Callithrix jacchus: one gene and its partners. The protein of the gene in region 7 interacts with the protein of the main gene of each other region in a pairwise test. Links are inferred from orthologs where the notes say so. Each region holds a gene or a part of one and is shown on either strand. Other genes may lie near its edges. The genes, in order: TRIO, SFR1, KIF5B, YWHAZ, GOLGA2, DISC1 and CDC5L.

Evidence for each region.
Region 1: the proteins of CDC5L (region 7) and TRIO interact in a two-hybrid assay, tested with the Homo sapiens proteins (2 studies listed by BioGRID and IntAct). The link is inferred for Callithrix jacchus from reciprocal best matches to the Homo sapiens genes CDC5L and TRIO.
Region 2: the proteins of CDC5L (region 7) and SFR1 interact in a two-hybrid assay, tested with the Homo sapiens proteins (2 studies listed by BioGRID and IntAct). The link is inferred for Callithrix jacchus from reciprocal best matches to the Homo sapiens genes CDC5L and SFR1.
Region 3: the proteins of CDC5L (region 7) and KIF5B interact in a two-hybrid assay, tested with the Homo sapiens proteins (2 studies listed by BioGRID and IntAct). The link is inferred for Callithrix jacchus from reciprocal best matches to the Homo sapiens genes CDC5L and KIF5B.
Region 4: the proteins of CDC5L (region 7) and YWHAZ interact in a two-hybrid assay, tested with the Homo sapiens proteins (2 studies listed by BioGRID and IntAct). The link is inferred for Callithrix jacchus from reciprocal best matches to the Homo sapiens genes CDC5L and YWHAZ.
Region 5: the proteins of CDC5L (region 7) and GOLGA2 interact in binary tests that used the Homo sapiens proteins (3 or more experiments, as listed by UniProt). The two-hybrid records come from large-scale screens. The link is inferred for Callithrix jacchus from reciprocal best matches to the Homo sapiens genes CDC5L and GOLGA2.
Region 6: the proteins of CDC5L (region 7) and DISC1 interact in a two-hybrid assay, tested with the Homo sapiens proteins (2 studies listed by BioGRID and IntAct). The link is inferred for Callithrix jacchus from reciprocal best matches to the Homo sapiens genes CDC5L and DISC1.

Annotation. Positions count from the first base shown.
Region 1 is NC_133503.1:190,740,438-190,743,937, reverse strand, and holds part of TRIO (triple functional domain protein), read left to right. Parts: intron 1-1,626; coding exon 1,627-1,874; intron 1,875-3,500. UniProt on the Homo sapiens protein: Guanine nucleotide exchange factor (GEF) for RHOA and RAC1 GTPases. Involved in coordinating actin remodeling, which is necessary for cell migration and growth. Plays a key role in the regulation of neurite outgrowth and lamellipodia formation.
Region 2 is NC_133513.1:97,125,274-97,129,510, forward strand, and holds the start of SFR1 (swi5-dependent recombination DNA repair protein 1 homolog), read left to right. Parts: upstream 1-1,437; 5' UTR 1,438-1,457; coding exon 1,458-1,470; exon of another isoform or gene 1,471-1,555; intron 1,556-2,042; coding exon 2,043-2,164; exon of another isoform or gene 2,165-2,209; intron 2,210-2,786; coding exon 2,787-3,182; intron 3,183-4,237. UniProt on the Homo sapiens protein: Component of the SWI5-SFR1 complex, a complex required for double-strand break repair via homologous recombination. Acts as a transcriptional modulator for ESR1.
Region 3 is NC_133508.1:31,791,297-31,795,510, reverse strand, and holds the start of KIF5B (kinesin-1 heavy chain), read left to right. Parts: upstream 1-1,414; 5' UTR 1,415-1,853; coding exon 1,854-1,979; intron 1,980-4,214. UniProt on the Homo sapiens protein: Microtubule-dependent motor required for normal distribution of mitochondria and lysosomes. Can induce formation of neurite-like membrane protrusions in non-neuronal cells in a ZFYVE27-dependent manner.
Region 4 is NC_133517.1:96,020,124-96,023,623, forward strand, and holds part of YWHAZ (14-3-3 protein zeta/delta), read left to right. Parts: intron 1-134; 5' UTR 135-145; coding exon 146-439; intron 440-3,500.
Region 5 is NC_133502.1:176,868,508-176,872,007, reverse strand, and holds part of GOLGA2 (golgin subfamily A member 2), read left to right. Parts: intron 1-1,191; coding exon 1,192-1,250; intron 1,251-1,579; coding exon 1,580-1,721; intron 1,722-2,529; coding exon 2,530-2,619; intron 2,620-2,725; coding exon 2,726-2,833; intron 2,834-3,025; coding exon 3,026-3,113; intron 3,114-3,475; coding exon 3,476-3,500. UniProt on the Homo sapiens protein: Peripheral membrane component of the cis-Golgi stack that acts as a membrane skeleton that maintains the structure of the Golgi apparatus, and as a vesicle thether that facilitates vesicle fusion to the Golgi membrane.
Region 6 is NC_133520.1:52,906,638-52,909,195, reverse strand, and holds part of DISC1 (disrupted in schizophrenia 1 protein), read left to right. Parts: intron 1-310; coding exon 311-449; 3' UTR 450-2,558. UniProt on the Homo sapiens protein: Involved in the regulation of multiple aspects of embryonic and adult neurogenesis. Required for neural progenitor proliferation in the ventrical/subventrical zone during embryonic brain development and in the adult dentate gyrus of the hippocampus.
Region 7 is NC_133505.1:52,878,076-52,881,575, forward strand, and holds part of CDC5L (cell division cycle 5-like protein), read left to right. Parts: intron 1-1,937; coding exon 1,938-2,100; intron 2,101-3,500.

The DNA of each region.
Region 1 (3,500 bases), on a different chromosome or scaffold from region 7:
TGTACAACATTGTTTGAGCTGAGGAGCCACAGGCAAACAGTGGGCACCCACAGGGACGAGAACAGAAGCAGACTCCTCCACGGAGACGAGGACAGGAGCCGGGCAGCACCACCGTGTTTATTTTAAATATGCACTACAGGTTTCGATTCAGAGCCCTGGTACCTAGAATTCCCAGTGGCTGGCTTGTTGGCTCTCTCATGCTTGACATCGTGGAGGAGGGCCAGAGGTCTCTTCCCTCCGGTCCTCTTGGCGAGCTACAGCAGTCCACCACCTGCTCCAGCATGTCCTGATACCAGCTCAGTAGACCAGGGCTGAGAGGCGGTAGAGCAGGGTGTTCTAATTGTGTCTGCACTGACCCAGGATTTACCCAGGGCGTCGGAGAGCCCAGCAGAAGCTAGCACCTTTGGAGTCTTGGGAATCCATGAACATCCCAACAGTGTCCTCGGTGGAGGCCTTTGAGCACAAGTTCACGGGAACAAGGCACCAGATGCCATTTCTCACATTCTACTCCATAGAGGGGCCTCAGGAGCTGGCGGGGGATCTGCGCGTTCGTCTCCTCCACCCAGAGCCATAGGCCACGCGCTAGATGGGAGTTTGGGACAAACACTGCCATTTGTGTTTCTTCTTAGCAGCTAACCCCACTCAGTGTGTGGCCTGGGTAGGGCCTTAAGAAACGCTCTTTGTCTTACCAGTCACTCTGGCCTCATTGACTGGGCCACTCACCATGAATTGAGTTCCTGCTGCATGGCAGCCCTGTGACTAAAGAGACCTGGTCCCATGGGGGCAGAGGCTTAAGTGGGGCGGGGTACGCATCCCACACCAGAATCTGTTCCCAAAGCTTGAGTCACAGCACCTGTGGTGAGCCGCACTGGGATGCTTTGTGTTGTGTTCCCATGGCAATAGCCTTGAGGACACTTGAGTCATGCAAGCTCATAAGAGGGACTCCCAGCAAGCTCTTACACTGGAGACAGAGCTGCTCTCCATAAGAGCAGAATAGTGATCGATTTATGTTCAGGTGCTCCATGTTGTTTTTGAAGCAAAGAAATAGAAATGATCAGGCATGTCAGCAACTTAGCATGATTCTAAAATATGCATTCCCAGTGAACATTCTATCTGGAAGATTTGGGGACTTCTCTATTATGGAATCTGTCAGTGAGATGAAGATTAATTTTGCATCAGTTAATTTGAATACCTTTTTTCAACTGATAATGGTACAGTGACACGGCTGTTTGCTTAGGAATAGCCTAACGTGTAAATGAGAAGTGACATTGTAGTCTTGAAAAAAAAAAGGAGTAACCTAACATGGCGTTAACATGAGGTCTGAGATGTTCCTGTGAGGGTGCAAGGAAGGTCACAGTGTGACCAGCTCCCAACACCAGAGTCATTATTGCAGTGAATTTTTTAAGAGCATCCCTAAATTGCTTTCTAGAGAGCCCACATTTTCAGTTATTGAAATAGATGCACAGAGTTAGCCAGAGGGTAAAGAAAAAGTTGAAAGTTTCGGTGCTGCCCGGTGAGCCCTGCACTGGGTCATGGTGCCGCGGGGCACACTGGCACAGGACTTCATGTGATCAGGCCTTGTTTCAGTTCCCCCTGCCTTCTCTGTCTTCATCTGTCCCTCTGCAGAGTGAAAGCAGCAGCAGTAGCAACATCTCCACCATGTTGGTGACACACGATTACACGGCAGTGAAGGAGGATGAGATCAACGTCTACCAAGGAGAGGTCGTTCAGATTCTGGCCAGCAACCAGCAGAACATGTTTCTGGTGTTCCGAGCCGCCACTGACCAGTGCCCTGCAGCCGAGGGCTGGATTCCGGGCTTTGTCCTGGGCCACACCAGTGCAGTCATCATGGAGAACCCCGACGGGACTCTCAAGTGAGTGCTTGACAGCAACAGCAGCTGGGCAGGCAGCAGAGGGAGGGGCCACAGCGCCCTTGAGGCACAAGACCCCAACCGGGGTAAGCATGTGGAAGGGAGAGCAGCACTGGGGTGTTCATTCCAGTTCAGCTCTGAGCACATGGGAAGATGGGTGGCCTTCCATCTCACACTCACACTCATGCTCACAGGGTCTTTGAATAATCTGCATTTAGAAATAGTCTGCTCTAGCCCATTGTTAAGGAATCCCATCTGACAGCATTTTGTGTTAGTCATAACTCACAAAAGTGTGTTTTTTGTTTGTTTGTTTGTTTTGTTTTGTTTTGATGGAGTTTCGCTTTGTCACCCAGGCTGGAGTTCAGTGGCATGATCTTGGCTCACTGCAACCTCCGCCTCCCAGGTTCAGCGATTCTCCTGCCTCAGCCTCTTGAGTAACTGGGACGACAGGTGTACGCCACCACACCCGGCTAATTTTTGTATTTTTTGTAGAGACAGGGTTTCACCACATTGATCAGCCTTGTCTTGAACTCCTGATCTCATAATCCACCCACCCCAGCCTCCCAAAGTGCTGGGATTACAGGCATGAGCCACCACACCTGGCTGGTTTTTTTTTTTTAACCCAAGGGGAAAATATCACCTATTTTTCTTTCTCCAAAATACATTCTTAGGCCCCATTTTAGTCAGGGTCCTTGAGAGGAGCAGAACCAGTAGGGAGTGTGCATAGATACCAGCATAGACACAGGCACGCCTCTTTTGTGTGTGTGCTTTGCTTTAATGTGCTTTGAAGAATTGGCTTTTTACACGAGTTTTGTGGCAGCCCTATGTCAAGCAAGTCTCTCAGTGCCATTTATCCAACAACATGTGATCCCACTCTGTATTTATGTTACATGTTGGTGATTCTCACAATATTGACACATTTTGTTGTTATATTTGTTATGATGATACATAGTGATGTTTGATGTTACTATTATAATTGTTTTGAGCAACTGTGAACTGCACACATTCAAGATGGCAAACGTAATAAATGTGTGTGTTCTAACTACTCCACCAACTGTCCATTCCCCCATCTGTCTCCCTCTCCTCAGGCCTGCCTGCAACACAATAATATCAGAATTAGACCAGTTAATAACCCTACAGTGGCCTCTAAATGTTTACATGTCCCTCACTTTAAATCAAAAGTTAGAAGTTTAATGAGAAAGCCATGTCAAAAGTGGATACAGGCCAAAAGCTAGGCCTCTCGCACCAAACAGCCAAATCATGAATGCAAAGGAAATAAAAGTGCTACCCACTAAACAGACGAATAGTAAGAAGGTGAAACAGCCTTTTCTGAGACAGAGAAAGTTTGAGTGTTCTAAACAGAAGATCAAGCCACAACTTTGCCTTAAGCCAAAGCCCAACCCAGAATAAGGCCCCCTCTCTCTCCAGTTCTATAAAGCCTGAGACAGATGAGGAAACTGCAGAAGAAAAGTTGGAAACCAGCAGAGGTTGGTTCATGTTTAAGGAAAGCTAATCCAATAACATGAAAGGGTTAGGGGCTAATGCAGCTGGTTACTTTAAGTTGAAGCCAATGCACATTTACCATTCTGAAAATCCTGGGATCCGTAAGAATTATGCTAATTACGATCC
Region 2 (4,237 bases), on a different chromosome or scaffold from region 7:
TAGTTGCCTCTTACTAGTTCTCATTTAATCCACCAGTCCCCTATTAACAGATGAAGCTGAGGCACAGAATCACCTCATTAAGAAGCGTATAAAGCATAGTGTCAGGATCTGAACCTAGACAATCTGACTCTAACGTCTATGTCCCTAATCATGGCTTTAGGTAGTCCTCAGGCTCTGTATTTATTATAGCTGACTGTGTAAGACTCAGGTAACTCCCTTCTGGCCACTTCTAAGCCATTACTGTCAGATGTTACTAATAGTAAAAACACGATATAAATGTTTAAAATGGCCATTCAATAAGAAGACTGAAAACACTGGCCTCTGGAAAGTCCCAACTTCCACGTGACTCAGAAGTTACTCAACTCTTTCCCTAAACCCAGTGCTCCACCCAGTGTAGTTAACTTCGTCGTCGCGTAGCCACAGAAACTTGCCACACTGGAAGCCGAGGGGGTGGGGTGGTGGATTTTCTAGACTGAGGATGCTGCTGCCTGGTGGTCGGCAAGGGCCCTATCGGTGTCAAACATCTGAATTTTGGACCGACATAATCTCATTTAGTGATTGTTCTGCTTGCTGTGTTGCGCCACAACAAATTTCCTTGGGCTAAATTTTCCCTCAGATTTGAGTAAAAGAGTTGAGATCACCCTAAGGAGCCTGAATACTGAGGTAGAGAAACAAATTTTTTGTTATAAAACAAACAAAAAACTTAGCGACGCGACCGCCGAATTTGCGGCAACCAAAAAGCGAGGAGCTCAGCTAAAGTGCCGGGACTCTCGGATAGATTTCTAATATGTCTTGTTCTCAACAGGCTCTTTTCAACGCTGCTCTTTTGTGGTCTCTGCCTCTAGGGAGTCCACAAGCTGTAAATCTAACGGACACCCAGCCGTGCAGCTTCCGGCCGCGCCAAGTCTGAGGAAAGCCTTTTCTGCGGTGAGCTGGTAGAGGAGACTGACGGGAGCCAGGGAATGGAGGAGCCGAGCGCGGGGCGGGGCCCCTTTCAGGCGCACTTCACAAACGCACAAAAACAAGGAAGCCGGACGGAAGGCGGTTGAAAAAAAGGCAAGGGAAGCCAGGAACAGAAGCGCGCCCCCCTCAGGATCGGTTGGTCGTTCCGAAGCTCAGCCTCGCCTGCCGGTTAAGCCCTGCTTGCCGATCACGGCCGCGCGCACGCGCGCGCACTCCCGCTGCTCTCGGGTGCTGGGCGGGGAGAGCCGCGCGCGCTAGTTAATTCTGCCAATCACGTGTCTCGGCAGCCTATCGCATGGCCAAGTCCCGCACTAGCCGCCCACTGGCGGAGGCGCGCGCGCAGACCCGCCGCTCTCAGTCGCTGAGTGAAAGCAGCGCCTCACGCGTCAGTCAGTCTGGCCAATTGCGTGTCTTTTCCGTGTCTCGCACTGCCCCGCCTTGCCACAGGATAGATTTACGGCCGCAACTGCGCGCGCTTTTTGCTTTCGCTGGGGATGGCGGAGGGAGGTACTCTTTTGCAGGGAACGGGGCTACCTGAGACCTGGACTTCCTCGGGAGTCTGCTGTGGAGTCGAGTTGAGCTCCCTTTCCGGGTCGGGGGAACTGAACCTAAGCTCATCCCTGGAGTCTCCGGGGATCTAGTGGGCTTTCTGCGGCGGGGGGCGGGGGGGGGGGGAAGAGGGACTCCTGCCTCTGGTTTGCCTCGCAAAAGTTTATGCCTCTGTCGGAGGAAATAATTCCAGTGCACTCTCCTTGAATTCCTGATTTTCTAAAGCTGTTTTTTCCCCTCCTCCTAAGGCAGAATTTGAATATTTTTTGGTAGATGAAAACAAGGAGAGTCGTGACTATGAGATAATAGCTGGTTGTGAGGTACTAGCTGGTTGATGTGTCATGAATAAATTAGTAGTCCCTATGTGGGAAGGTAAATGGAAAACTGCAAAAAGAACAAGAATGAATTATAAAGTGAAATTTGAAGAAGTATCTGTCTTACTTGTGGATGTTTTGTACACAAAATAGTCATAAAAATTGACTATAGAGAGGTGTGGTTTTGATTCTCATTTTATAATTTTTCTTTTTTAGAGAAAAGCCAAGATTTCATTTTCAAGATGGAAAGTCCATCAGACTCAGCTGCAGTTTTACCTAACACTCCTCAGGTCTCTGCAATTCCATCGTCTCCCTATACAAGTAGTTCACGAAAACAAGTATGAACATCTTTGTTCTTCCAGTGGATCCATTCTGTGTTCTAGGTATTGTGGCAGTGGTGATTTAAATTCTACTAAAGATGGTTAATTAACATAATGTGTAGCCTAAATAAGTAGATATTTTATTAAATAATTTTATGTTTTTCTTCTAAGTTAACATATATGATACCCACTAGCCTTCCGCCATGTTTTCCTCTTGAATTAATTCATTTCAGTTACTTTCAGATTAGGTTATTACAACACTCACCAAATTGAGAAAGTGAATCTGTGCAGTATTATTATGAAGGTCTTTAGTGGCAGGGTCTAGGTCTTTTCCCTACTCTGTAATTCTGAAGCACCTGGATTACTGTCAGGCATGTGCTTGTTCCTGAACAAATGCTTAATTACTGGGACAAACCTCTCAACAGTTTTAGAAAGGTGTTGATCTTGCTGAACTAAAAAGAGAATAAAACAAATGGAGTTTCCAGAAATTAAAGACATTTTGTGATGCCTTCTTTAGATATGGAGACAGCCACCTAGTGGTGTCTAGCATAGAAATGTAAGGCCTTTATTTCTGATAGATTTATTTACATCAAGAATGTTCTTCTTGATTAACATTTTTAATGTTTTGTGCTCTTTACAGCCTATGAGTGCAACACTTAGAGAAAGATTAAGGAAATCAAGATCTTCATTTAATTCTTGTTACAATGTGGTGAAACGTCTTAAAGTAGAGAATGAAGAAAATGATCAGACCTTTTCAGAGAAACCAGCATCTTCCACAGAGGAAAACTGTTTGGAATTTCAAGAAAGTTTTAAATACATGGACAGTGAATTTGAAGAAAATACTTTGAAGAATCTCAGTGTCTGTGACTCTCAGTCGCTTAATTCTGGGTCATGCAGTGCTCTCCAAAATGAGTTTGTGAATGAGAATCTGCCTAAACAAAGATTAAGCGATGAAAAAGCCAAATTGGTGAAGCAGGTTCAGGAGAAAGAAGACCTTCTTCGGAGGCTAAAACTAGTCAAAATGTATAGATCAAAGGTAAGAATTTGAGGACCATTGCATAATTTTTATTTTTATATAAATTGCAGGAAAGTAATTTAAAAAATAGAAAGTAGGAGCTTTTTTTCTTTTTTTAAGCATAATAAGCAATAAGCCAAACATTCAGAAACCTGGCTTCCAACAACTTTAATTCAACTCCAGATTTATAGTAGAAAAGGCCCGTAAACACTAGGGTAAAACTTTTAAAGAATCTCAGCTCTTATTTAATATGCAGTTAAACTTTTCTCTGTAGTTTCTAGCTTGCAGGAATGTAAGTATTAAATGTTAGATAAAAGTACGATGGTAACAGAAGGGAAAGCTGACAGTGAATTAGTAAAACTAAAAATGAGCTGTAGAGTACAATAAAAGGTATTTTTAGTAATCATCTTGTTCCCCCGCCAAATAATTGATGTGATTCAGCCATTTTATTTGAGAAAACAAATGTATATTAGGCTTTAGATTTAGATAGGTTGAATTAAGTAGAATTTGGAAGGAGATAACCTTTAATACCTGAAAAATTCATATATATGTAATAGCATATTTTCCCCCAACTACGTGGAATAAATGATGGGATAGAGTATCTCATTTATCTTAAATTTTTAGAGTTTGAAAAAAATATAATTATTAGGCCGGGTGCCGTGGCTCAAGCCTGTAATCCCAGCACTTTGGGAGGCCGAGGCGGTTAGATCATGAGGTCAAGAGCTTGAGACCATCCTGGTCAACATGGTGAAACCCCGTCTCTACTAAAAATACAAAAAATTAGCTGGGCATGGTGGCGCTTGCCTGTAGTCCCAGCTACTCAGGAGGCTGAGGCAGGAGAATTGCCTGAACTGAGGAGGCGGAGGTTGCGGTGAGCCGAGATCGCGTCATTGCACTCCAGCCTGGGTAACAAGAGCGAAACTCCATCTCAAAAAAAAAAAATTATTGAATGTTGAAAAATTTTATTTATTTATTCATTCCTTCATTTATACTTTGTTAAGAGACATGGTCTCTGTTGCCCAGCTGGAGTGCAGTCATAGCTTATTGCAGCCTTGAACTCCAGGGCTCAAGTGATC
Region 3 (4,214 bases), on a different chromosome or scaffold from region 7:
ATAGAAATATATGCTGAGAAGATAAAGAGAAGAAAATGTGTTGATTCAGATGAGAGCTAGTGTAAAGCACTATAACTTCATATTTTCTCAAAAAATAAAAAATAAGGCCGGGTGCAGTGGCTCCCAAGCACTTTGGGAGGCTGAGGTGGGTGGATCACCTGAGGTCAAGAGTTTCAGACCAGCCTGACTAACATGGTAAAACTCCGTCTCTACTATAAATACAAAAATTAGCTGGACGTGGTGGCAGGTACCTGTAGTCCCAGCTACTCAGGAGGCTGAGAAAGGAGCATCACTTGAACCAGAGAGGTGGAGGTTGCAGTGAGCTGAGATAGCACCACTGCAACTCCAGCCTGGTCGACAGAGCAAGACTTTGTCTAAAAAAAAAAAAAAAAAAAAAAAAAAATTAAATGCCATGTATGTACCTATGCAACAATCGTGCATGTTCTCCTTCTGCAGCACCTCACAGCCACTTCCCATGGAATTTTATGGTACTCATCTTCTAAAACTAGAAGGCAAAGTCAACTATGGAATGGTTTTCATATGTAATGCACAAATTTACTTAAGCTTTTTAAAAAGACTATCTTTATCCTCCAGGTCAGTCATTACTCTAGTATTGGGATTGATGAGTTCCGTATGTTTAGTGCCGGGGAAGTGGCGGGAATTCGCTGAACTGCGTGGGAGAGGCGAGGGTGCGGGGCTGGGATGCAAGGCACTAGGCGGCTGGAGTGACGGAGGCTGTGTGAGGGGGCTGACGGCTCTTCCCCCTCCTCACCCTATTGTTCCACATTTCTTTGCAACTTTATTCATTCCCTAGGAAAAATTTCCTTTTTCTTTCTTATTCCTGTCTCCCCACATCCCATTCTCTCAGGAAAGAGCTACCCTTCATCGAAATCCTACCTTTTTCTGGCAACGTGTTCCAAAAAGGTTGGCCAGGAATGATTTTTTCCCCCAGACAAAAATGAAAGCAACACTTCCTTATAGGAATATAGTACTTCACATTTTAATTTTAAAGCTAGTCATGTGAAACAGTGGCAGTGGAAAATAAATAAATCTCTGGCTGCGATCAATTAGTTGCAAACACCATCGCACTCAGACCCGCCTAGTGGTTTATTTAAACGACATTAAGTAGCTGAAGCAAACCCCTTCTCCCACAAAGAAAAGAAAGCTAAGTGCGTCTGCCTTGGCTCTGGGGAATTCTTCTGCAGCTTGGGATGCGGAGGGAAGTCGCCGCACTGCGTCCCCAGGAACTTCTTCGAGAGGGTCCTTGCAATAAAATTTGAATCTGCGACCCCGGGCCGGGAGTGGTGGCGGAACCGGCGGCACGGCCGCAGCAGCCGGGTGCGAACGCGGGCACCGATTGGTTGCCGGGCCGCCCGGCCCATCGCGCCTGCGCAGTCCTCCTCCCGCACCGCCCAGTAGCCCATCTGCGGCCTCTGGAGTGATCCGGCAGCGGCCGGCCAGCAAACCGCAGAGCGTGCAGACGGGTGGGCCTGGCCTGTTCTTTGCGAGGAGGAAAGAGTGGGCCACTCTCCCGGCCCCCAGAACCTCCTCAGTCCCCGCAGCCCGCACAGGCCGGTGAAGGGGACGCTGAAGAGCCGCGACGCTCTCCCCGGTGCCGCCGCCGCCTTGGCTGCCATGATGGATAGGAAGTGAGCCTCAGGGCAACGGCTGCCGGCGCCGGCGCTTCGAGTCCCGGCTCCCCGGCCGCCTCCGCCCGGGGAAGCGCAGCGCGGAGAGGCTGACTGCTGCCCCTCACTGCCCTTGCGACTCCAAGACTCTCAGCCCCGGCGCGCTCCCTCCAAGACTGAGCGGCGAGGAGTGGCTCCCGGCCGCCGGCCCCGGCTGCGAGAAAGATGGCGGACCCGGCCGAGTGCAACATCAAAGTGATGTGTCGCTTCAGACCTCTCAACGAGTCTGAGGTGAACCGCGGCGACAAGTACGTCGCCAAGTTTCAGGGAGAAGACACGGTCGTGATCGCGGTGAGTGACCCTCTCCGGCACCCTTCTCCCCGCTTCTTTGGTCCAGGCGGTGCGGGGAGTTTAGGGAAGTGGCAGGGTGCAGAAGTGAAAGGGAGCGGCAGTGTCCCCAACCCTTTCTGCAGAGTTTGCCAGTTAAGATAACCCAGGGGAGGGAGACTGCGCAGCGTCGCGGGCGTTCCTGGATCGCCCCTTCCCCAGTCTTCGGCGCCGGGAGACGGGAGGCGCCCAGCCTCAGCCCGGGACACTCCCCCACCTGGGGCAATGGAGGAATGTCCGGGGAGCAAGTTCAGTGTACGTTTGTCTGCGTATCTGTGTGTGCAGTTACGGATGCTGTTGGTGTTTTGGACTACCCTAAATTTACCATTCAAAAAATATGTAGTGCTAATACAAGGTTTAGCTGGGGCATTGAGCTCTGAGACAAGCGGTGGTATACTTTAATAAAGGTACTTAGTTTTATGGAAACACATAACCAGTCCTTGAACCGTATTGTTTCCCCCTTGGAGAAGGAAAAAGCACCAAACAGCTACAAATATTATCTACACCTCAGACGTTCACCACGTTTTGAGTGATGAATGACTTTTCATGTGAACAGTTACAAATGGCAAATCGAGGATTGTAGAAAGAAATAGTTGAGTTTTTTTTTTTTTTTAAATCAGAATGATCAATTTTGTTTAATCTAACAGACCTAGCCGACTTTGGTTGGGTCAAATAAGTGCTCCGAAAGACAAATCCCACTCTTGCTGGGTTTTGTGGGATAACAGCCTAGGAGAAAGTATTAACTTCTTGTTTTTATGTCATACAGAAAGCAATATAGAAACAAGCTTTTTAAAAAAGAAAAAGTGTTAGATTCATACATCTGCAATTAAGGTCTATCTTGAAGAAAATTGATCTTTAATAATCCCAAGAATAGTGAGATACTGTTTTTTTGTAATGTAAAACATAACTAGAATTTAATGACCGTTGTCAGTGAGACCAGAATGTGAGGGTTTTTTGAGGTCTGATCTCTGGCATTGAAAGATCTGGCATTGAAAATAGCACTGATCTCTGGCACTGAAAATAGCACTCTGAGTTGAAGGAGATTAAAAATTAATTGTATGGCATACAAAACAGTGAACTGTGACTAAATTATGTTGATCTTTGTTGGTATTGCTATTAGTAGAAATTTCTACCTTGTTATCGTATGAAATTTTAATATGTTAATTTTTCCTCTAATGTCTTTTTTTTTCTGAGGCGGAGTTTTGCTCTTGTTGCCCAAGTTGGAGTGCAATGGCACGATCTCGGCTCACTGCAACCTCCGCCTCCTGGGTTCAAGCGATTCTCCTGCCTCAGCCTCCTGAGTAGCTGGGGTTACAGGCGTGCGCTACCACGCCCCGCTAATTTTTTTTGTATTTTTAGTAGAAACGGGGTTCATCATGTTAGCCAGGCTGGTCTCGAACTCCTGACCTCAGATGACCTGACCGCCTCGGCCTCCCAAAGTGCTGGGATTACAGGCGTGAACCACCGCGCCTGGCCTAATGCCATTCTGTAATACTGCGTTTGGGCTATTTAATTTGGAAGTAGGGCAGAGGTCACAGGAAATGGGACAAGGATGATTGAAAGCATTGACGTTGAAGACAGACTAAAGTTCTTTAGGGTTTCCATGTGAAAGTTTCTCCAAAGTTCACCTCCAAAAAATGAATGTCTCAGCTCCTTGGTAGTCCTTTGGCAAACAAGTCATTAGGCCACTAACAACTGCCAGCTATTACTGTGTAAAGACTGTCAAGCCGGTTCTTTGTTAACAAGTCCACAAGAAAATCTCTTGTGTAAATGACATCATAGCCCAGCAGAGGAGAAGTTAAGTGCAGTAATCTTTTTCCTTTAGGATGGGATATTTTACATGTAGTCAGGAGGCTTGCAAGAGTTGTCAAACTTGAGGCTACTAGTTGCTTAAGAGTTTTTGTGATTTATAGTACTCAGCTTCAGCAATGGTTGGCACATCAAACCTAGTTTTTCTTTTACGCTTGTCTTAAGAATGTCTTATTTCTTCAGATTTTGTGTTTACACAAATCTATAATTACCACTATGATTCTTTTTGTTGGAATGCTAAAATTTAGGATTCATAAAATATATTAAGATTAGAACATAACCGTTGATGAGGCCCAAATATGGCATAAACTATGAAGAAAAAACTAATGGAAAATGAATAAAGGAAACATACATTCTAGGTTTCCATTTGGAAAAAGTTGCTTTTAAGTT
Region 4 (3,500 bases), on a different chromosome or scaffold from region 7:
ATTTTAATCATGTGAACGATTTTCCACAGGCAATTATGTTTCAGGTTTTAATAAGGCTCACTTACCACAGGTATAATTTTGACTGTTTATTTTGATGGGAAAAATTTTAAATACTCCTTTTTTCCCCCCTGCAGAACATTCAGTCATGGATAAAAATGAGCTGGTTCAGAAGGCCAAACTGGCCGAGCAGGCTGAGCGATATGATGACATGGCAGCCTGCATGAAGTCTGTAACTGAGCAAGGAGCTGAATTATCCAATGAGGAGAGGAATCTTCTCTCGGTTGCTTATAAAAATGTTGTAGGAGCCCGTAGGTCATCTTGGAGGGTCGTCTCAAGTATTGAACAAAAGACGGAAGGTGCTGAGAAAAAACAGCAGATGGCTCGAGAATACAGAGAGAAAATTGAGACGGAGCTAAGAGATATCTGCAATGATGTACTGGTGAGAATTCCACATCCAGTCTGGCTTCATTACACTGTAGGGTTCCTATGAGTATCAGTTACATTACTCTCAACTTTTTCTTTCCTTGTTCTTTTCCTTCTAACATTGTGTGTTCCAAATTTAGAAGTCTTTATGGTGTCATGACTAAAAAGATGTTAATACAATTATAGATATGTTTATGTAGAATAATTGCAACAATGATTATGAAACAGTTGTTTTGTTAAAAATAATAGACTTTAGTATTCTATTTTATATTAATTGAAAAGAAAAACTAACAGTATTACTGTTTTTCTTGTGGTTAGAATATTTGTAGTAGCTCTGTAGCTGATTGTCTTAAATGTACATCTATGGATAAAGGAATTTTGCATATTTAATGTGAGAGATGTAGTAGGATACTCATTGTAGAAATAGTACTCTTTGGATTAGCCGCTATAATGTTACTGTAATGAGTCAGTCATACAGAAAACTGGCCTCACAACTATGAAACCTCTTCCTGCATTGAATTGTTGAAAGTAAATTTTGAATACTCAACAACCATGATGAAAGGTTATGGATAACTCAAAGCTTGACTTTCCAGTTTGAATCAAGTATTTTAAGTATTCAGTACTTACTGTGTTGAAGCACTGTACTTAAAAGAATTAAACTAAACTTTGGTTAGTTTTAATCTGTCATACAAAAGCAAGGCTTTTTGATCAAGAATAGTTTAAATTTGAGGATAAACTAGTAGAAAATCCAACCAAGCTGGCAGTCTTTAGAATAATATTTAAAGTGGTTTTACTAAGTGGTTATACTTACCAGTATGGCAGGGCTCTGATATACAAAGAGGGACAGCATTTCGATTTTTCTGGACAGGTTACTGAATCTGGGACTCGGGATGGAAATCCGTGTGTGTTACTTACTATATGAACCTTGTGGAAGAATTGCTATAATGAATAATAGGATAATATCTGATGTGGTTGTATCTGTGTACATATTACTCAGTTTTTGTTCAGTCTGGTGTGTTTTGCCCAGTTACAGCTTATCAAAAAGTGTTTATTTTGGCTTCAAAGGATGTGTTACAAGTTAAAATTTCCCTTAAGACAAAAGTCAATTTTAGGAACAAAAAGGAATGTTAACATTTACTTTTTACTAACATGCTTATTTGTAATACCAGGTAGGTATGTGCATGCAAAGTATAAAAGTTCCTGTCATTGTCTTTTCCTAAGAAAAGGCTTATAGCAGGTGTTTTTTTTTTTTTTTTTGGAAACAGTTTTGTACTTGTCGCCCAGACTGGAGTGCAATGGCACTATCTTGGCTCACTGCAACCTCTGCCTCCCAGGTTCCAATTCAAACAATTCTCCTGCCTCAGCCTCCTGAGTAGCTGGGATTACAGACACACGCAACCACGCCCAACTAATATTTTGTATATTTGGTAGAGATGGGTTTCACCATGTCAGCCAGATGTCCTGACCTCAGGTGATCCACCCACCTTGGCCTCCCAAAGTGCTGGGATTACAGGCGTGAGCCATCGCATCTGGTCCAACTTGTAGCAGTTTTAACTATGCTTCCCTTTGGTTTCCTTATCAAGAAATTTTTTTGCGTAGAACCAGTAAGTGAGAATGACAAGATAATCTCTTAATATTAATAGCTTCTTTTTGTTCGGATTATTAAGGAGGTTGATTCTGGTTCCTACTCATGTTATCCTCCAGAATAGCACTGACTTCTCTAAAAGGTTAAATGGCATTTCCCCTTTGAAAGTTTGGATGAATGAGAGTTTAATTCCTTTACTACACAGATGGCTTCGAAGAGAATTCTAAGCAAGCATTTGCTTCCAGCCTTAGTCTTTTGTTAAGAATATTAGTGATCTTTGCATACTCATAATGTGTAGTAGATGCTCAAATATTTGTTAAGCATAAAGGCTTCTTTTGAGAAAAAGGATAGAATTAGGTCAGCAGCACTACAAAATTTCCCTGGCTTTTTCTATTTCTGCTTGGGAAAATTTGATATTTACAGATAGTAGGCTTCTTTTTCCTACCACCTTTTTCAAAGAGGTCACGTTGACTCTAGCACCATCTTGCATAAAATGCCCTTTCCCCTTTCTAGTGAAGTGGAAGAATAAAATGTAGCAGAACTGATGTTTCTACCAGAGAAGGTTTTGTTGTACTTAATGATTAGTAAAAGTGTTTTAATTATATTTTTAAGATCTTACATGATAAAAAAATTAATATTTTTTTATTACTCCAGACTTTTCTGAGCTTTGATATATATATTTTTTTTAATTTGAGAAAAGCAGGTTATTCCTTTGCAGAATTAACAGTATTGGCTGGTGGCATTAGTGATAACCAGCTTTTTTATATTGAGCACTTGTTTTATAATAGCTATGAAAATACACTCTTCCTACAAAAAGCAACTAATCTCCAAAGTTCTGAATTTTTCTGAAGAGCTCTTTGGTAACCCATTCTGGTTACCTGTATTTATTAATTGTTTAATCATTTAATAAGCAAAGAGTTGGGACCATGTTGCTTTTTACAACAGTTAGTAGAGTATTACCATGGGAAGTGGTCACTGGCATGTTCTTCACAATGTGGACTTTTCATTATGTAAAAGAAGTTGGGGTTCTTCTCTTCATGTGTTAATTTGAAACTGCAATATGTGAACAATCTGCCTTTCCTGCCAGATGCTCAGACAAAAGCTCTCTTGGTAATTGGGGAGGGACTTAGCACTGGTACCTCTTTAAACCTGAAAGATGGCAGCCAAAAATTGAGTAGTTTTTAACTTAGACATGATGAAGTGAACACCAAGGAAATACAGTCTTGGAGGCCTATTTCAAACTCAAAAGAAGTATGTCGAGATGAATAATAGAGCTCAAGATTTTGAGTCAAACTAGTTTTACCATTTAATAGATGCATGGCCTGAGGAAATCACTTAGTCCCTCTGAGAAAACTGAGCTCAATTAAGTAGGAATAATACTCATCCCACAGGATTGTAAGGAATGAGAGTCAGGTAAAGCACCTTGACTACGTTCTGTGTCCTGTTTATCTCAGCTTTTCTGTTCTGTTTAAAAGTGTGAACCTGCTTGTAA
Region 5 (3,500 bases), on a different chromosome or scaffold from region 7:
CTGACCAACATGGTGAAACCCCATCTCTACTAAAAATACAAAAATTAAGGCCAGGTGTGGTGGCTCACGTTTGTAATCCCAATTGGAAGGCCAAGATGGGTGGATCACGAGGTCAGGAATTCAAGACCAGCCTGGCCAAGATGATGAAACCCCATCTCTCTAAAAAAAATTAAAGAAAACAAAAAAAATTAGCTGGGTGTGGTGGCATCTGCCTGTAATCCTAGCTACTCAGGAGTCTGAGGCAGGAGAATCGCTTTAACCTGGGAGGCAGAGGTTGCAGTGAGCCAAGATGGTACCACTGCACTTCAGCCTGGATGACAGAGCAAGACTCCATCTCAAAAAAGAAAAAGGAAGGACATTGGTGTTGAGGTTGGCATATGTATCAAGAACACACAGTAACTACCAAGGCTTCCCAAGTTTTGGCAAAACCCAGGCGTTTTGGGTTTTTGGTCATATGGTTGGAGCATTCCGGGTATCCCCTGGGGTTGCAGCTCTCTATAAGTTTGGTGTGGCTGAACCAAGAAAGAAGGCATATGCAGATTTCTACAGAAATTGCGATCCCCAGAAAGATTTTGAGGAGATGAAGAAGGCTGGTTTTTGTAGTATAAAGTCATGTTGGAATAGAAGGAATTTCTTCAGGTTGAATTACCTAGAAGTTTGTCACTGACTCGGGTTCCTGAACTATGACACATGAATATGTGGGCTAAGAAATAGTTTCTCTTGATAAATAATTAACAACAACAAAAAATGAGATCAGTCAGGCGTGGTGGCTCACGCCTGTAATCCCAGCACTTTGGGAGGCTGAGGAAGGCAGATCACTTGAGGTCAGGAGTTCAAGACCAGTGTGGCCAACATGGTGAAACCCCATCTCTACCAAATACAAAGATTAGGCAGGCGTGGTGGTGCACACCTGTAGTCCCAGCTACTTGGGAGGCTGAGGCAGGAGAATAACTTGAACCTGGAAGGCAGAGGTTGTAGTGAGCTGAAATCTCACCATGGCTCTCCAGCCTGGGTGACAGAGGGAGACTGTCTCAAAAAAAAAAAAGAGACCATGGGCTTGGAAATGCCTGGAAAACATGTCAATGTGATTGAGGAAGTATTACTGTGGAGTAGTTACTGTAGCTATTGTTACTGGTTGGCCAGCTGCTCCTCTCCCTGCTATATCCTGACTTAACCTTTCTGTATTTGCAGTACAATAAGGAGTTAACCAAAGAGAGAGATGCCCTCAGGCTGGAGTTATATAAGAACACGTACGATGGGAGATGGTGGGATGGGAGGTCTGGGGGCCCTTAGCATGGGTGGTATGCTGGGAGGTGGGGGGTATACAGGGAAGCATGGTGAGCTGGTCATACAGGTTTGCATGTGTGCCCAGCAAAGCTCTAGTAACAGCTGTGCCACTGACATGCATGGTGTAGCCTTGGGCAACTCATGTTGTCTCTCTGGCCTGCTACATGTGACTTTTGATTCCTGGGGTTCCTTCCAATGCCATGGTTCTGTGGTTGTGGGGCAATGGGGTTGATCACCAAAACAGTCTTTTCTGTTCTTCATTCCTTTCTTTCTTTACTGCCTCTGGCCATAGCCAAAGCAATGAGGACCTGAAGCAAGAGAAATCGGAATTGGAAGAGAAGCTTCGAGTCCTAGTGACTGAGAAGGCTGGCATGCAGCTTAACTTGGAAGAACTGCAAAAGAAGTTAGAGATGACTGAACTCCTGCTTCAACAGGCAAGAGGCTGCAGCCCTGGGAGTGGCTAGAGCCCCATCCAGCTGAGGCCATGCTCTAGGGAATCATGCACGCTATGGGGAGGCTTCAGCCAAGAGCTGGAAAATTTCGGTTCTTGTTCTGGTCCTGCCATAGAATCCTCTAGAGAGTGCTAAAAATCTACAAATTGGGGTCCTGCTGTAGACCTGGAGAATCAGAATCTCAGGATTAGGGCTTAAAATTTTTTGTTTGTTTAAAGCATCATAAGTGAAAACCATTATTTTAGAGATTACATTTATATGGCTAGCTCATGAGTCTGTTTATTTCCTTCTGAGGTTCAAGGCAACACTTTCACTATTCCATGGTAATAATAGAGAGTAGATTTTTTTTTTTTTTTGAGATAGGGTCTCGCTCTATCACCTAGGCCAAAGTGCAGTGGCGTGATCTCAGCTCACTGCAACCTCTACCTCCCAGGCTCAAGTGATCCTCCTGCCTCAGCCTCTCAAGTAGCTGGGACTACAGGTGCACGCCACCACATCTGGCTAATTTTTGTATTTATAGAGATGGGACTTTGCCATGTCGCCCAGGTGGGTCTTGAACTCCTGAGCTCAAGCAGTCCACCCACCTCAACCTCCCAAAGTGTTGGGATTACAGGCATGAGCCACCATGCCTGGCCTGAGATCTTTTTAAGATTATTTTTTATTTCTAAGGTAAACTTGACAGCAGAATTTTATTGACCAAGTTGAACATTGAGCCTAGCCCTAGCCCTTTTAAGGGGCACTGTGTGGAATGGCCTGGGCTCCCCACATCTAAACTCTCTTTAACATCCAGTTTTCAAGCCAGTGTGAAGCCCCTGATGCTAACCAGCAGTTACAACAGGCCATAGAGGAGCGGGCTCAGCTGGAAGCACACCTGGGGCAGGTGAGGCTTTGCAGGGGAGGGATGTGGAAAGAAGATGACCCCAGGTGGCCAGGAGCAGGTGAGGGCCAGTGACAGCCCTTCCTAACTTCTGTAACCATTCTTGCAGGTAATGGAGTCTGTTAGACAACTCCAAATGGAGAGAGATAAATATGCAGAAAATCTCAAAGGAGAGAGCGCCATGTGGCGGCAGAGGATGCAGCAAGTATCAGAGCAGGTGAGACCTGACCCTTCAGGTCTAAGGTTGTTTAGGCCTGAAGCAAGGGCCCAACAACCTTAGATAGGTCACTTGATCATTGTGGGCATCTGTAAAATGGGAGAAGCACAACCAGAGGTGGTCATGGGTCTGGGCTTTGTGGAGATGGTAGCCTATCCAACCACCAGCCCTTTCCTGCTGTGCTTTGGACAGGTGCACACATTGAGGGAGGAGAAGGAGCGTAGCATGAGTCAGGTACAGGAGCTGGAGACAAGCTTGGCTGAACTGAGGAACCAGATGGGTAAGCTGGGGCTGGGGTGACCTGGGAGTAGGACTTTTGTCAGAGGGCTTCAGAGATGGCTTAGAATGCCCCAGGGAGCTGGCACTGAGGCAGAGGGAAAGAGGTTTGTGCCAGGAGATGGCAAGTCTTGTCATCTCTATGAGCCTCAGTGTCCCCATCAGCAAAGAGGGAGGAGTGCTGGTTGTCAGCCACCCACAGTTGTCATTATTGAATAGTGGCTTGGAAGACTGGCTACCATCCAGGTGCAAGGAATCATTAGCAGGGAGGCCAAGTATGGGGAGCCTAAGAGGAGCTGTGGACCAAGAGGAGGGAGGGCATTTTTTGAGAATCCAGAGGCCCTTATCGTCTGCTTCCTTTTTCAGCTGAGCCCCCGCCCCCAGAGCCCCC
Region 6 (2,558 bases), on a different chromosome or scaffold from region 7:
TGCCAACCACAGATCATTGAGCATCTGAGGTGGCCATCTGTCTCAGCTAAGAGCTTACTCTTCCATTTCCTTTTTAAGACCTGATTTGAGATAGTCAGTACCTCAGGCATTGTAGAAATTGCAATTATTCTTAAAAGAAAAAGTGTAAAATTTGTATTAATATTTAATTCCTACAATTTGAAAGAACTTGAAACTGCAATTAGATGGCAGTGCCCATCTGCTTCCAGGGGGCTCACATGCTCTTCCATCCCTTGGAGGCTGCAGAGGGCCGCCATCACCTTCGGATGTGCTCCTTAACAACGTGCCCACAGTCTCTCAAGAGGGAGCTCCAGATGGTGAAGGAAACTCTGCAGGCCATGATCCTGCAGCTCCAGCCAGCAAAGGAGGCGGGGGAAAGAGAAGCTGCAGCTTCCTGCATGACAGCTGGTGTCCGGGAAGTGCAAGCCTGAGGAGTGACGGGATGGGGGAGGGAGGTGGGCCACCATGTCAACAGTTTGGACCCGGGGGTCTACTCTCCCTTCCCACTGCATAACTAATGTGCCTGAATCAATTATGGAGACACAGAGCCTTGATGTCTTTCAGTGGAAAGGTGGTTCATGTTCATTCTCATGAGTCAGAAACCGAGGAGTCTGCAAATTGGAATATGGAGAGGGAGACTGATTTGCTGAATTTGCTTCTAAATGTCATTAAAAATTTTCTTTGCCATGTCATTCATGGGAATGTCCTGCACAGGATTCAAGAATATTTTCATTTCAATCCCCAGTAGAGAGAAGCTGGGGTGAATTCTGGAAAAAAATATCTCTTTTTTCTACACCATTTGCCTTCTGCTGTAACTAAAACATTTCCTGATTCAAGATTCTATAAAAAGGAAACCAAGCATAAGACTCTGTCATCCTACCTGTTACACGTTCCTACAGGTGCACCACTAAGAGAGCTAATTAACCTCAGAGTCTGGAATTAACAGCTTTTCACCTTACTTCTCCTGTGATCTAATATTATCTTAGAAAAATTACTATGCAATTTCCAAAAGATATTTTAGTTAGGCAGCAGCCTGTCAGTGATATGCCACCTTTCAGTTTCCTTTTGTGGCAATGATTACATCTGAAGAAAGGATCCTCGAGAGTCTCTGTTTCATCAGGACATTCTGTAATTTACCTGTAGTGAGGCTGTGAATGGATCAGGAGACCCGAATGAAATGTTTGAGCCTGTTCTGTTTTCCCATGGAACATATTTCACTCAATGCCAGGCAGTGCAGCATTTAGGAAAGCAGTGCAGTACTCAGTAATACAGTACAGTACTCAGGCAGTGCAGTACTCAGGCAGTGCAGTACTCAGTAAGGCAGTACAGTACTCAGAAATGTGCAATATTCAGTAAGACAGTACAGTACTCAGGAATGCAGTGTAGCGCTCAGTGAGGCAGTACAATACTCAGTAACACAGTGCAGTACTCAGTAATACAGTACAGTACTCAGGCAATGCAGTACTCAGGCAGTGCAGTACTCAGTAAGGCAGTACAGTACTCAGAAATGTGCAATAGTAAGACAGTACAGTACTCAGGAATGCAGTGTAGCGCTCAGTGAGGCAGTACAATACTCAGTAACACAGTGCAGTACTCAGTAATACAGTACAGTATTCAGTAAGGCAGTGCAGTACTCAGTTACACAGTGCAATGCTCAATAAGGCAGTGCAGGGCTTAGTAAGGCCGTGCAGTACTCAGTAACACAGTGTAGTACTCAGTAGGACAGCACAGTTCTCAGTAACACAGTGCAGTACTCAGCCAATGTAGTACTCAGTAAATCAGTGCAGTATTCAATAATGCAAGGGCATTGCGGGCTCCTGCTGGGCTCTTCCTGCAGGCCAAGCTGGGACTCCTATTGAGACAGCTGCAAAACAGGCTGATTTCAATTAGGCAGCACTTCCCAAAGTGCACTTAGGAAGGTGGCCCCAAGAGGTGCTCTCTAACCAAAGGAGTCCCCCTCTCTGGTCAAGTACCTTTGGTAAATACACCATACCATCATATCTGCTTGGAGAGCCACAGGACACATTAGCATATTAGTCTGTGAGAGAAGTTATAATAAGGAAAGCCACTTGATTTTATCTAACCTCAAACTTTCCAAGTTTAATGGATCATGAATTTTTTTCATGTAACTCCTATTCATATCCCATAGATCTAGTATTGGTCAGCGCTGCACTCTCCGAGGAAGTCCTAGTCCAAACACTGACTTATATCATTTCAGAAACCACACTCAAACTTGTGCAGATTGGTAAATTTAATCCAGTAAATGTTCTGTTTGTGCTTCTGTCCTCATTGATATGTTCAGGGATAGTGAGGTTCCTGCCTTCACTAGGATCCATGGATACGAGGCCATTTTGGTCATTTCCTGAAGTCACTGGCATTTCCAGAAGGCATCTGGTGCTTTGCTGAGCCTTCCATACTGTGCAGCACTTCTGTCCTCAGTCGAGGAGATGGCCCTGCTTAAGCCAGCAATTGGCTGGGGTTCAGGAAACGAAGCAAAAGCACCATATGTGAATGTGCTGATTGTGTTCCCTGCGGCTTTA
Region 7 (3,500 bases):
AAGATTGTAATCCTTTTGTGTATGTATTACTGTTGCTTTTCCCCCAGCATTTTATTTTGAAAATATCAAGCATTTAGAGAGGTTGAAAGAATGTGTGGAAGTTATCAGTATTGAAATGGAATCACTTATGTAATATTTTCATGAAAAAGGAACCCTCATGTGCATATGCCCATGACAGAAATTATTGCAGAGATCTTCTGAAAACCACACAAATTCCAGATAAGTTGCTTCTGTGAAGACATTGCCCTACCAGGTTGAACATCCTAAATCTGAAAATCCAAAATCTAGACTTTTTGAGCACCAACAACATGACACTCAAAGGAAATGCTCGTTGAAACAGTTCAGTTTCGAAGTTTCAGATTTGGCGTGCTCAACCAGTATAATGCAAATATCCCCAAATCTGAAAAAATTCCATATCTGAAACTCTTCTGGTCCCACATTTCAGATAAGGGGTGCTCTTATCTATATCGGCAATGAAAATAAATGCCACCTCCTGTGCTAAGTCCCTGTAACCAGTGGCCTTTATTTCAAAGCAGTTTTCATGGACTTCTCCCTTTTATCATTAAAACCTTCCCCTTGCCCCAGCACCCTCGGGTATACCTGTGGTCTGTCATAGCACGCATATCCCACAGTCATCCCTTGTTGTTCCTGAATAAACTCCTTGTTTTGGAGACCCAGTCTCTCACCTGTTTAAGTTGACAAATGCTAAAGTGAACATCCGTATCATCATGCCACCACTTAGATTCTAAGATTGCTAGTATTTTAGTGTATTTGCTTTATCACCTATCGATCCATCAATTCATCATATTTTTAAATGCATTTCAAAGTAACTTGCAGATATCAGTTTGTTTGATCCCTAAGCACTTCCACATGCATTAACTAGAATTAGTATTTTTTTATAACTCTTTTGCTTAGTTTTAAGCTGCCATTTTTTAAGAAGAATCCCAAAAAAACCCAAACAGTACAACAGTAAAAAATAATACAAATACAAATACAGTATAACAACTATTTATATAGTATTTAAATTGTATTAAGTGTTATAAGTAATCTAGAGATGATTTAAAGTACATGGGAGGATGTGCAAACGTTATATGCAAATACGATGCCATTTTATATCAGGGACTTGAGTATCTGCAGATTTTGGTCCTGGAACCAATCACTGTGGATACTTAGGGACAACTGTACGTCTTGTTTGTCACCTAGATTGTAAAATCCATGGGGACAGGGACCATGTCTTATGTGATAACACCTTACCTATCAGGAATAGCTGTCTGGCAGCATCACCATTCTGCAACACACCAATATACAGGAAATAGGCAACCAGGAAAAAAAAAGACTTTGAATAATTAAAATATGGGTTGCTGCAAAGTCTGTGGATCTAATTCCTAGGAGACTCTCTTAGGCCTCCCTCAGGAGCTTACTCATGTTTAGATGGGATTCTAAAAGTGTGGTATTTGGTTTCTAAACAAAATGTAAAATGAGGAACTATTTAAAGTGTGTACATCAGTAGTAATGACAATGATAATGATGCGCGAGAGCCAACAGCTTGTTAGGGAGGAGACAAAACCAAATTCAAAGAGGAATCTGGTCATTGAGTGTGGTGGCCCATCTCCCTGCCCACTGCATATTCTTAGCTGCCCTAATGTGCCTGGAAAAGGTTGAAATAATGTTTAGTGGACCTAGTTTATTAGAAAGGCTAGAAAATATCATATGTAATGACTATTGACAGTTAAAAAGTAAAAATATTATGTTTAAATAACATGGTAGCTCGACCAAACATTGATTTTAACCTAGAGAGCCTAATGAAACTAGCTAGACAGAATTTCTGGAATCTTTATTTCTTTATTTCCTGCGAAATAATTTATGTGACAAACATTTGAAAGCACAATCTAAAATATAAGTAGCGCTGCTGTTAATTGGGATTCCTGTCTTTCTAGGACTCCTTCTAATGGAACTGAAGGGCTGACTCCCCGGAGTGGAACAACTCCCAAACCAGTTATTAACTCTACGCCGGGTAGGACTCCTCTTCGAGACAAGTTAAACATTAATCCTGAGGATGGAATGGCAGACTATAGTGATCCTTCTTACGTGAAGCAGATGGTAAATGTCAATTCCCTTTTAAAACTCTTAATTTTTTTTATATCTCATGGGTGCCAAATTAAAATTTCTCCTGTTAGTTCATATCACGTATACCTTAAGAATCTATACACCTGTGGATGCCAAAAAAAGAGAATGATTTGTAAGACTTGATGAAAGAGGGAATCTTTTGGGCTCAAAACCTACCTTTCCTTATGCTTACTAGGTTTACAAATATTGATGTTTGTTGTTGATTTTACTGAAGTTTTCTTCAGCAAGGTGAAGTAGAAAGCTAATTGTAAAAGTTAAGTTTTGCTTCTGCACATGTAATTGCATTTATTACTTTGCTATTGGGCCTTATTATCTGATGCTACAGAAATCATTGTGAAATTAAAAAAATAACTTCTAATGATACTGGCTTGTTTTCATTTTAAAATTAATTCTAACCTAATGTATATATTTGGTTGATTTATATATGTTTTTTTAAAGTCCAAATTGATATCAACTAAAGCCACCTCTGACTGGATACATAAGAATTAAACATTGAGAACTTCATGCATGCAGAGCATGCATTTGGACATTTGAGGGATCTAAAGTTGAATAAAGATGTCCTTTGTCTTAAGGAAATTTATATTCTGGGGAGATTGGCAGTACTAAACTAAGTCCAAAAATAATTGTAATATCAGAACAGAATAAGCCCTTTGAGTAAAACCAATGTGCTTGGGGTAAAGAAAGGAATAATCACATTTGTTGGGTAACAGGAAAGCCTTAATTGAGGAGGTAGGTTCTGAAGGAAGATGGAGGCTGTCCCAGATGGAGACCACAATATGAGTGAGCACGGAGGATGTTTTGGACCTAACAACCCATCTGTTCCTCACAACCTAGTACATGTTAGTAGTAGTGGGAAATGAGGCTGGAAAGGCGAGCTGAGGATGTGGTGAGAATATTCTGGGAAAACTCTGGGTACCAGGAGGCTTTTTTGGTAATCAGGACTTGACTCTCTTTTGCCTACATGGGATTCAGTATTTCTATTAAAAATAAACACACACATACAAATTCAGATATCTTTCAGAGTGCATTTTATTAGTCCAAGGACAAACTAACTTTTGAACCTGTTCTTTTCATTTGCTGTTACATTTCAGTGTCAGAAATGTATTCCCTCAAATGAAAATTATAGGGGTCTTTTTTTTGCCCTGTCCTCAAACCTTCTACTGGAATATCCCAGAGTATCTTCAGTAATAACAGGTGAAAGTTTTCGATTGGTCTGAATGTTGGGAATAAGGAAGAATAGAAAACAAAGCAAAGATTTATCTTAGTTCTGAAGTCAGGATTATTTTTCTAGAATTAATACTAGGCTGATTTTTTTGAGACCTTTCTCTTCTTATAATTTTTAATTTTTGTAGATACATAGTAGCTGTATATAT